2 linked regions of the Rattus norvegicus genome follow. Each later gene encodes a partner of the first gene's protein in a complex. Links are inferred from orthologs where the notes say so. Each region holds a gene or a part of one and is shown on either strand. Other genes may lie near its edges.

Region 1 (4,260 bases):
CCTTGGATGACTACTCTGATATCTTCCCTTATGGGACCCTTCTTAGTTTTGCTTTTGCTTCTGATTATAGGTCCATGTGTGTTAAAGAAACTAGTTAATAGGTTTGACTCCTACAAAAAGATAGAGACGCTCAACAAGGTTGGTTTGAGTCTTGGTTCACTCGGTCTCCCTGGATGACTACCCTACTCTCTGCTACAGCTGGGCCACTACTAATAATTTTCTTGGTTTTAGTTTTTGGACCCTGCATGACAAACAGGTTAATTGCTTTTGTTAAAAATTGAGTGGGTGCTGTGCGGTTGATGGTTCTGAGACAACAGTACCAGTCAGTTAGGACAACTGGTGAGACGAAATACGAGATTTGATATCAAAATTCTAAGATTAGAATTACTTAGTAGAAGAAGAGGGGAATAAAAGGAAAATTATACAGATTTAAGGTTTAAAAATATAAAATTAAAAGAGTAAGTTTCTAAACACTGTCCAGGCAGGGCAGGGCCTGCCCTACAGCCAAGACTGACAGGCCATAAAGATACAGAAGGGCACCTCCCCCAGCTTACTCAGAGTCACACCTTAACCAGATGTCTTTCAAACCCTGATAAGCCCCTAGACTCTAAAGTCCTGTACGCCCCAGTCAGCACGAACTCTTCTGCTGTGTTGTCTGTTTGAATGAGCCAATCACTTATAGCCGCGCCAAAAATTAGCCAATTGTGTGTAACCGCGCCAAACCCCCTAGCTTTCCCTATATAAACTCCTGACTTGAGTTTCGGGGTCGACACCTCTGTCTCCTGCGCAGGATACGTGTCAACCCGGAGATCCCCGTAATAGATCTCTGTAATAAACCTTGCCTTTGCTTATTACATCCAAAATGGTCTCTCTGTGTCTGGGGTCCGCGATTTCCCGCGACTTTGGAAAGGGTCTCTCATTCGGGATCGGTGTTTCCTAGGGCGTGCCATCCTGAGACTCGAGCTAGGATCTTTCAATGCAACCTAGCGGTGGAGCATTTGCTTGGCGCTCGCCTAGCATGTTCTGGGTTCAACCCCCAGAACATAATGCCCTAAAGTGTAGGTGTTTCCTGCTATGTAGCCGAGAATGAATGGTGGTGCTTAGGGAGCACAGGTTTCGGGGTTCAAGGGGAGGTTTGTGCGGCCGCCAGCCCGGCCTCTTTCCCACCTGGATTAGGATGGATCCAATGGGGTCGTTGAGCTCCTGGGCCTGAGCCATGACTGAGGCAGGCAGAAGGCGCTTGGCTCCGGAGGTATGGCCTTCTCCGGAGCGCTTCTAGAAGCAGGCACCAGTCACTATAGCAACGCGGCGCGCGGAACCGGCGTGCTCCACAGGAGGAGCGGAAGGGGGAGCTGAGGGCCAGCTCGCGCCTCCGCTACCCAGCGCGCGGCCCCGCCCAGAGCGCGTGCCCGGAGCGTCTCCCCCGCGCGCCGGCCTCAGTGGTGCGGCCCAAGGCGGAAGCGGCGCCGGCGCGGAACCCGCTCTGCTGCAGCGATGGCTGCCGGTGTTCCTTGTGCGCTGGTCACCAGCTGCTCCGCCACCTTCACCGGGGACCGGCTGGTGCAACGTAAGTAACCGGGCTCCTGGGCCGGGCTGCAAGGCCCGGTTCGGAGCCCCGGGCTCAGGGCCGGTGATTTCTCCCGGGCACTACCGGAGCTGGGCCTCAGGCTCTGACTGCTCCGAAGGTGTCCGCGCCCCGCGCTCAACCCTCTTCCTGTGTAAAGTGAGGCCAGTCTCCGACCTGCTGCTTCAGGGGTGGTGTTAGGGAGCACCCCCTAACATGATACCCAAGGCCCCGGAAATTGTGCCCTTAGACGAATGTAAGGCGCTGGAGTTGTGGTGTTGTGTTTGAGGGTTATGTCCCTGCTGCTGGGGTAGTGTTTCCTCTTGTGAACTGAAGTGCTCAGAAAAAAAGATGCACGTGCGTTAGTGTTCTGCAGGGTGATCGACCGACCAGGACGCCTGTGGTTGTGGAGAGCTGGAATTTTTCTAACTATAGCCAGATTCTTTAGTCTCCTTCTTAGCAGTTTGTTACCCACCTCCGTGTCTGACCTAATATCCTTGTAACTATCGGGTAAAATCCTTTTGGGAATAGGCAAACAGACCCCTAGCTTCCATCAACCCAAAGGCTAAATTTTATCAGATGGTATCTGAGGCCTACAGCAGAGGTTCCCCGATGTACTGCAGTCCTCCTACCTGATGTTCCCATCAAAGTATTTTTTAAAACAACCTGACCTATGGCTTTGTTGTTCTTCTAAAAACATTATGAAATTGTTATTACTATGTTGGAACATTTGATTTGAGGCAACCCTGATTCTTGTTTCCTGTTCATGATCACTCTTATTTGGCTCCAGAATAAATGCTTACTCTTCTAGAAATGAGAGCTGTGGGCATTCTTGACTCCCCTTGGTATACATGTGTGTGTGTGTGTGTGTGTGTGTGTGTGTGTGTGTGTGATGTATATATACACGTACATACATACTCGTGTGCACCCTCACCTGCAGTTAGATTTCCTGTGCTCCTCCTGCGGTGCAGGTCTCCACCAGAATGAGTTTGAGGTGTTACTGCATCCAGTGCTTTTGCTTCTGGACCCTAAGCATTGCTATGAAATTCAAGGTTTTTTCTTTCTTTCTTTGTGTGCATACACAAGTGTGTGCTCTGTTTTTCAATACCATTGTCCTGTGCATACTAAGCATGGCACTCTACCTCTGAGAGAAACCCCAGTCCCCCCACCCCAAAACGAGCTCTGAAATATAGTTCAGAGAGACTCGTGAGATAGAGTTAAGGAGCCAGGTCACTGACCAGTTCTGTGACTCACTGACTGTGGGCACGTGACTTAACCTCTGCCCTTCATGTTCCTACATATGGTGTGAGGATTATATTTCACCACAGGCCAGCATGTGGCAAGCATCGGATAAGTGGTTGGCATTGTTATAACTGCCTATCACCTGTTTAACCCAGCCTTGCTGATCCTTAAAGGGGGCACATGAACAGGTGTTTGGAGAGACAGTGGATGCTGACTTGCATATATGTCATAACCTGTGAAGAGCATCATACGGTTTGTAATTATTTGTTACACCTGTCGACAAAATCAGGCACGCTGCCCTTCCAGCACAAATATTCTATAATTTGCTTATCGTGACCACATGGGAAGTTCCTTGCTAGGGCAAAAGCTTAATTACAGCACTTACAAATGAGAACCAAACTCTCCACCCTTCTCTTACTTCCCCTAAGCAGTACCCCTCCCCGCCCCCGCCAGGTCCCTCATCTTTGCCCCTTCTACTTCATGTTGAATTATTAAAATTTAGCATATGGGGAAAAATGTTAGCTAATATTTCATTCATTCTTTCTTTCTTTTCTTTTCTTTTTCTTTTTTGCAGTTTCCCTGGGCCCCTGCATAGTTTCTGTATAATTCTACTTCATACGTAGGTTTTAGCCTGGGATGTGTGTGTGTGTGTTTTGTTGGTGATAGATCCCAGTGTCTTGTGCATGTTAAGCAAGTGCTCTACTACTGAGTCACAGCCTCATCCCCTATGCTGATATTTATTTTTAGCATTAAGTCAGAAGGAACTTTCTATTGTACATCCATATAGTGAATATACCAGAGGTTTCTCAAGGTGTTTATCTGTTATGTCATTTGACTTTTTATAAAATGTATATTCATTTAAATTCCCACTAGTGATAGACGAATGATCTTTCAAAGGCAGGTTCAGGAATATTATATATTCTGATAACTATGGTGCTCTGTCTTCCTCTCATCCCCCAACAAGGTCTTGCTATGTCTCCTAGGCCAGCTCTGTACTTGTAGTCCAAGTGTTGAGCCCACCATGCCTGGCCCTGTCCTGTTTCTCAAAGATCAGAACTGGTAAATGTGGTTGGTCATTGCCTTGAAAGAGCTGGTTGATCACCGATAGCCAGCAAATGGTGACATTCTCCCTTTGTTCTTCAGTAGAGACTCTGAACATTATTGGAGGGTGAGGTTCTATGAAGTAGCCCATTTTGTTTCTGTATGCAAAGTGCCTTAGGAAACTAATTCTTGTTAGAATTAGGTGCCACTCATTAGTGCTCCACCAGTCAGCAAGAGAAGAGCAGAGCAGCCAGCAGATGATTTAAATAAGTAAATCGTGAAGAGGGCTGGTCAGTCCTTCCTTCCAAGGTCATAGGGACGGGGCCGAAGATGGCATTAAAGACTGAGTTACAGTATTCAGGGAATGAATTTAATTTGGGGATGAAAGATGGAGACCATCATGAAAAGTAACT
Region 2 (3,500 bases), on another chromosome or scaffold:
CCTTTGTTAAGGTCTGGGTTTCTCTGCTCCCATCTTTATGCCCGTGAAATGCCATGTGATGCTTTGCGTTTGGATATACCTGAATCGTGTGGCCATGTTGGCAAACTGGGGGACGGTGGCAGGTGCCTTCCTGATTCTACTACAAATTTATCTAAACTTTTTCCCCCCCTTGCCAGGTCTGTGAGCTGGACATTATCTTTAATTTTGAGAAGGCATATTTTATCCTTGACGAGTTTATAATAGGTGGAGAAATTCAGGAAACATCCAAGAAAACAGCGGTCAAGGCCATTGAAGACTCTGATATGTTACAAGAGGTCAGTATGGTTTTCTATGTGTGGGATGATTCCAGGACTAATTATCATAGAGTTAACACTGGGGACTACACCCACAATCTGTTCTGAGCATAGCTTCTACTTTAAATAATATACCTGTGTTAGCTTAGTCAATTATCTCAGCAGTTCTAACTAGGTGTTAGCCTGTTTTATAGCGAGCGAATGGAGACTTGAGTTGAAATGTCCTGCTCGTTTTCGTAGTTAATAAATCTGAAGCAGAGCTTTGGGCCCTCACAGTTTGGTCTTGAATCTTTGCTTGCCCTGTTCAGCTGAACTTCGGGGTCTGAAAAATATCTTACCCTCTGAAGTGTATGAAATGCTTGGTGCTATTCTTTGCAAATGTACTTTTATGAGATGCATAAAAAGGCTTTCATTAAAATACCTGCTCTGCCCTGGGATGGGAGAAGAGCAGCACCTAGTTATTTCATTTGCTGGGAATATTAGAGCTGCGTCATCGGAGATGGCATTTGTCATTTTAATTGAAATTTCCTACCTCTCTTGGGAAGGCCTTAGGTCTGTGCACTCTTGTTTGCATAAATAAATCAGGAGCGTTGGTAACTGGATTACACAGGTATAAATGGGTCTTGAAGCCTGTGCTTGGTGCTCCTTCTGACTCCGTGATTGCTCATAAAATATCCTGGGACTTTTTAGAAGCATCCCAGATTTGAATCAGACCTAATAGGGGAACATAACCTACATCAGCGTCTACAAGGACACTCAAAAAGATCGCGATTTTCCACCAACTCTTGCCTTCTAAAATGAGGAACTTCTGACTAGTCCTAAACCAAGCGTGTTTCCAGGTGCCTAGATTCTGTCCCACCTCGCCAACAATGTCAGTGGGAAAAGGGACATTTCTTTTCCCTGTCTCCTCCACTCTACTGTTTTGTTTTGTTTTTCTTTTCCTTTCCTTTCTTTTCTTTTCTTTTTTTTCTTTTTCTTTCTTTCTTTTTTTTTTTAAAGACAGAGTCTTACTGTGTAACCCAGGCTGGGTTTGAACTCACGATCCTCCTGCCAACCTCCCATTTTGCTGGGATGACAGGCATGTACCACCCCTGGCCTCAGTGGGTTTTCCATCTTCCTGTTTTCATAACAGGTCAAGAGTCAAGAGGATTTCAAGAATTATAAAGCACCTTTTTAAAACTGGTGCTAAAGTCATTCTTCCTGCTATTTGGAGCTAAGAGACTGGTTAAGTTAATAAGACATTAGGCCTGATTTCCCAGCAGCTGTCTTGGCAGTACTGTGAGCTGATTACTTACTTCTGCCCATGGAGGGACTCCATCCTCAGGTGAGTAGAAGTGAAGGAAGCGAAGGGTGGGCTCTCATAAGCAGCTCTGCGTTCCTTAGGCTAATGCATTTATTGCTAGAGGTGTTGTCCCCTCAAAGAAACATATTGGACCTCTCTGAGTCTTACTTGACTTTTTCAAATGCCACAAGAAGTGGGATTTTATGAGGTACCGAAGAAATCAGTGGTTCGGAAATTCCACAAAAGAGCATTTATTAAAATATGCTGGGGCAGGGAAGCAGGGAGTAGGAAGTGGGGATTGTTTCTGAGGCTCTCCTCTTGCTCTTTGAGATGGAAACTCCTTACAGAAGAGGGGAGCTCCTTATAGAGTCTCCACGGGGGCTTTGGCACTTCAGTAATTAAAGCTTCATGAACTGAGGTCAAGGCATACCTAGGTTATTTCAAAGTCCTCTAACTGCAGAAAACAAATTTTTACGGGATTTCAGTGAATCCGTGTTTCAAGTTACATTTAAATCTTGGGACCAGGCATTTTCAGGAGTGAGCCCTTTTTTCAGTGAGGCACTAATGGCTTCGTTCCTGTCCCTGGTGATTTGAACGGGCAGTGTGAAAGGTTTCCTCAGAGACCCTGGCTTAAACATTGTGCCCCAGAAAGCAGGAAAGGTTGTGGCTGACCTTAAATGTCACTTGTTGAATGCACAGAGCTGGCCAATGAGAGTGTTGCTAGTGTCCTCATGGGTTCTGGGATCCCCTCCAGAGATGTCAAGGGTCTTTTTTTGGAGGGGGGGGGCTTGTTGAGAAATTGACTATACCTGTCTGTTCTGCTTCAGGAAGTAGGAAATGTGTAGGAGAAAATGTTAAGATTGTACAAAGGAGAAAGATGGCCCCTTTATTTCTTGACCTTCAGGAACAAATATGTCCTAAACACATATCCGTAGAGGCCAAGGAAGGCCATTATGACATTGTCTTCCCTTTAGAACAGTGGTTCGAAAGCTTCCTAATGGAGTGAACTTTAAATACAGTTCCTCAGGTTATGGTGACACCCCTCCCCCAGCCACAAAATAAACTATTTTGTTAGTACTTGATAACTATAATTTTGTTACCCTTATGAATCGTAATTTAAATATTTGATACACAGGATGTCTGATGTTCCACCTCTAAAAGGGTTGTGATCCACAGTTGAGAAATACTGGTTTAGAACAACTAAAGTAGCTGAAGTAGCTCTTAGAACCCCCTTCCCCCAATTACACTTAGTGAAGGTTTCATAGGGCAGGGGAGGAAAACCAAAGTTATTTTCACATATTTCCTAAGAAGACCCAATAGGCTCAAAGCCCCAGGTGCTCAAAGCTTAGTCTGAGTGTATTCAGGTTAGATGTTGATCATCCCAAGAGGGTGATTTATATGGGAGGGAGCAGCTGCAATGTGGGTAGTCTGATAGAGACAGAAACATAGACTCAAGAGTAGACATTGTAATTCTCAAAATTACCAGTAGGGGGCAGCCATTAGTGGATAATCTCTATAGACCATACCTTGTCGAGAGGGGAAGGTCAAATGAAGTTCCAGCAGCAGGCCATCTCACACATCCGTGATGCATGAGGTACCGCTTGGTGAGCTCCAACACTTCTACCTTCAAAGCATAAACCAAAACTACAGTACAGTGGGAAAGGGCTGAGTGTGAGGTACAAATGCCACACCATGGTGTGGGTCCCACGATCCGACTCGAGGCAAAGTCTCATGAAGGCATGGGGAGGACAAAGATCTGATGCTGTCCCAGTTTTAAGTCGGTTCCAACCCTTTTCAGTGGCAAGTTCAAGAAAGTAACAAATCCTCACATGACTTCCTTATGCTCCTGGAGCGATAGCAGGACTCAGACAGGGCAGGTAGGACAGAGTTCAGGCCCTGAGTCACCTCATGCTAACGCAGGGCAG

What was found. Proteins that work in one complex are often made in the same cells at the same time.
Region 2: the proteins of Aagab (region 1) and Ap1s3 are in contact, whole or in part, in a crystal structure (PDB 9DDT), measured with the Homo sapiens proteins. The link is inferred for Rattus norvegicus from reciprocal best matches to the Homo sapiens genes AAGAB and AP1S3. Residues at the interface, in NP_078942.3 of Homo sapiens: Asn51, Lys52, Tyr53, Tyr54, Glu108, Val109, Met110, Ile111, Gln128, Ile132, Gly135, Phe136, Glu137, Asp151, Phe153, Pro154, Glu155, Arg161, Gln164, Ala165, Asn167, Ala168, Asn169, Val170, Met176; in NP_001034658.1 of Homo sapiens: Arg10, Gln11, Lys13, Arg15, Gln37, Leu40, Ser41, Arg61, Tyr62, Ala63, Ser64, His85, Val88, Asp92, Phe95, Val98, Glu100, Leu101, Asp102, Ile104, Phe105, Asn106.

What each region holds. Positions count from the first base shown.
Region 1 is NC_086026.1:72,977,309-72,981,568, forward strand, and holds the start of Aagab (alpha- and gamma-adaptin-binding protein p34), read left to right. Parts: upstream 1-1,460; 5' UTR 1,461-1,494; coding exon 1,495-1,567; intron 1,568-4,260. Other genes in the region: Iqch (IQ domain-containing protein H), read right to left, coding at 1,168-1,218. UniProt on the Homo sapiens protein: May be involved in endocytic recycling of growth factor receptors such as EGFR.
Region 2 is NC_086027.1:88,402,700-88,406,199, reverse strand, and holds part of Ap1s3 (AP-1 complex subunit sigma-3), read left to right. Parts: intron 1-176; coding exon 177-314; intron 315-1,425; coding exon of another isoform or gene 1,426-1,470; exon of another isoform or gene 1,471-1,616; intron 1,617-3,500. UniProt on the Homo sapiens protein: Subunit of clathrin-associated adaptor protein complex 1 that plays a role in protein sorting in the late-Golgi/trans-Golgi network (TGN) and/or endosomes.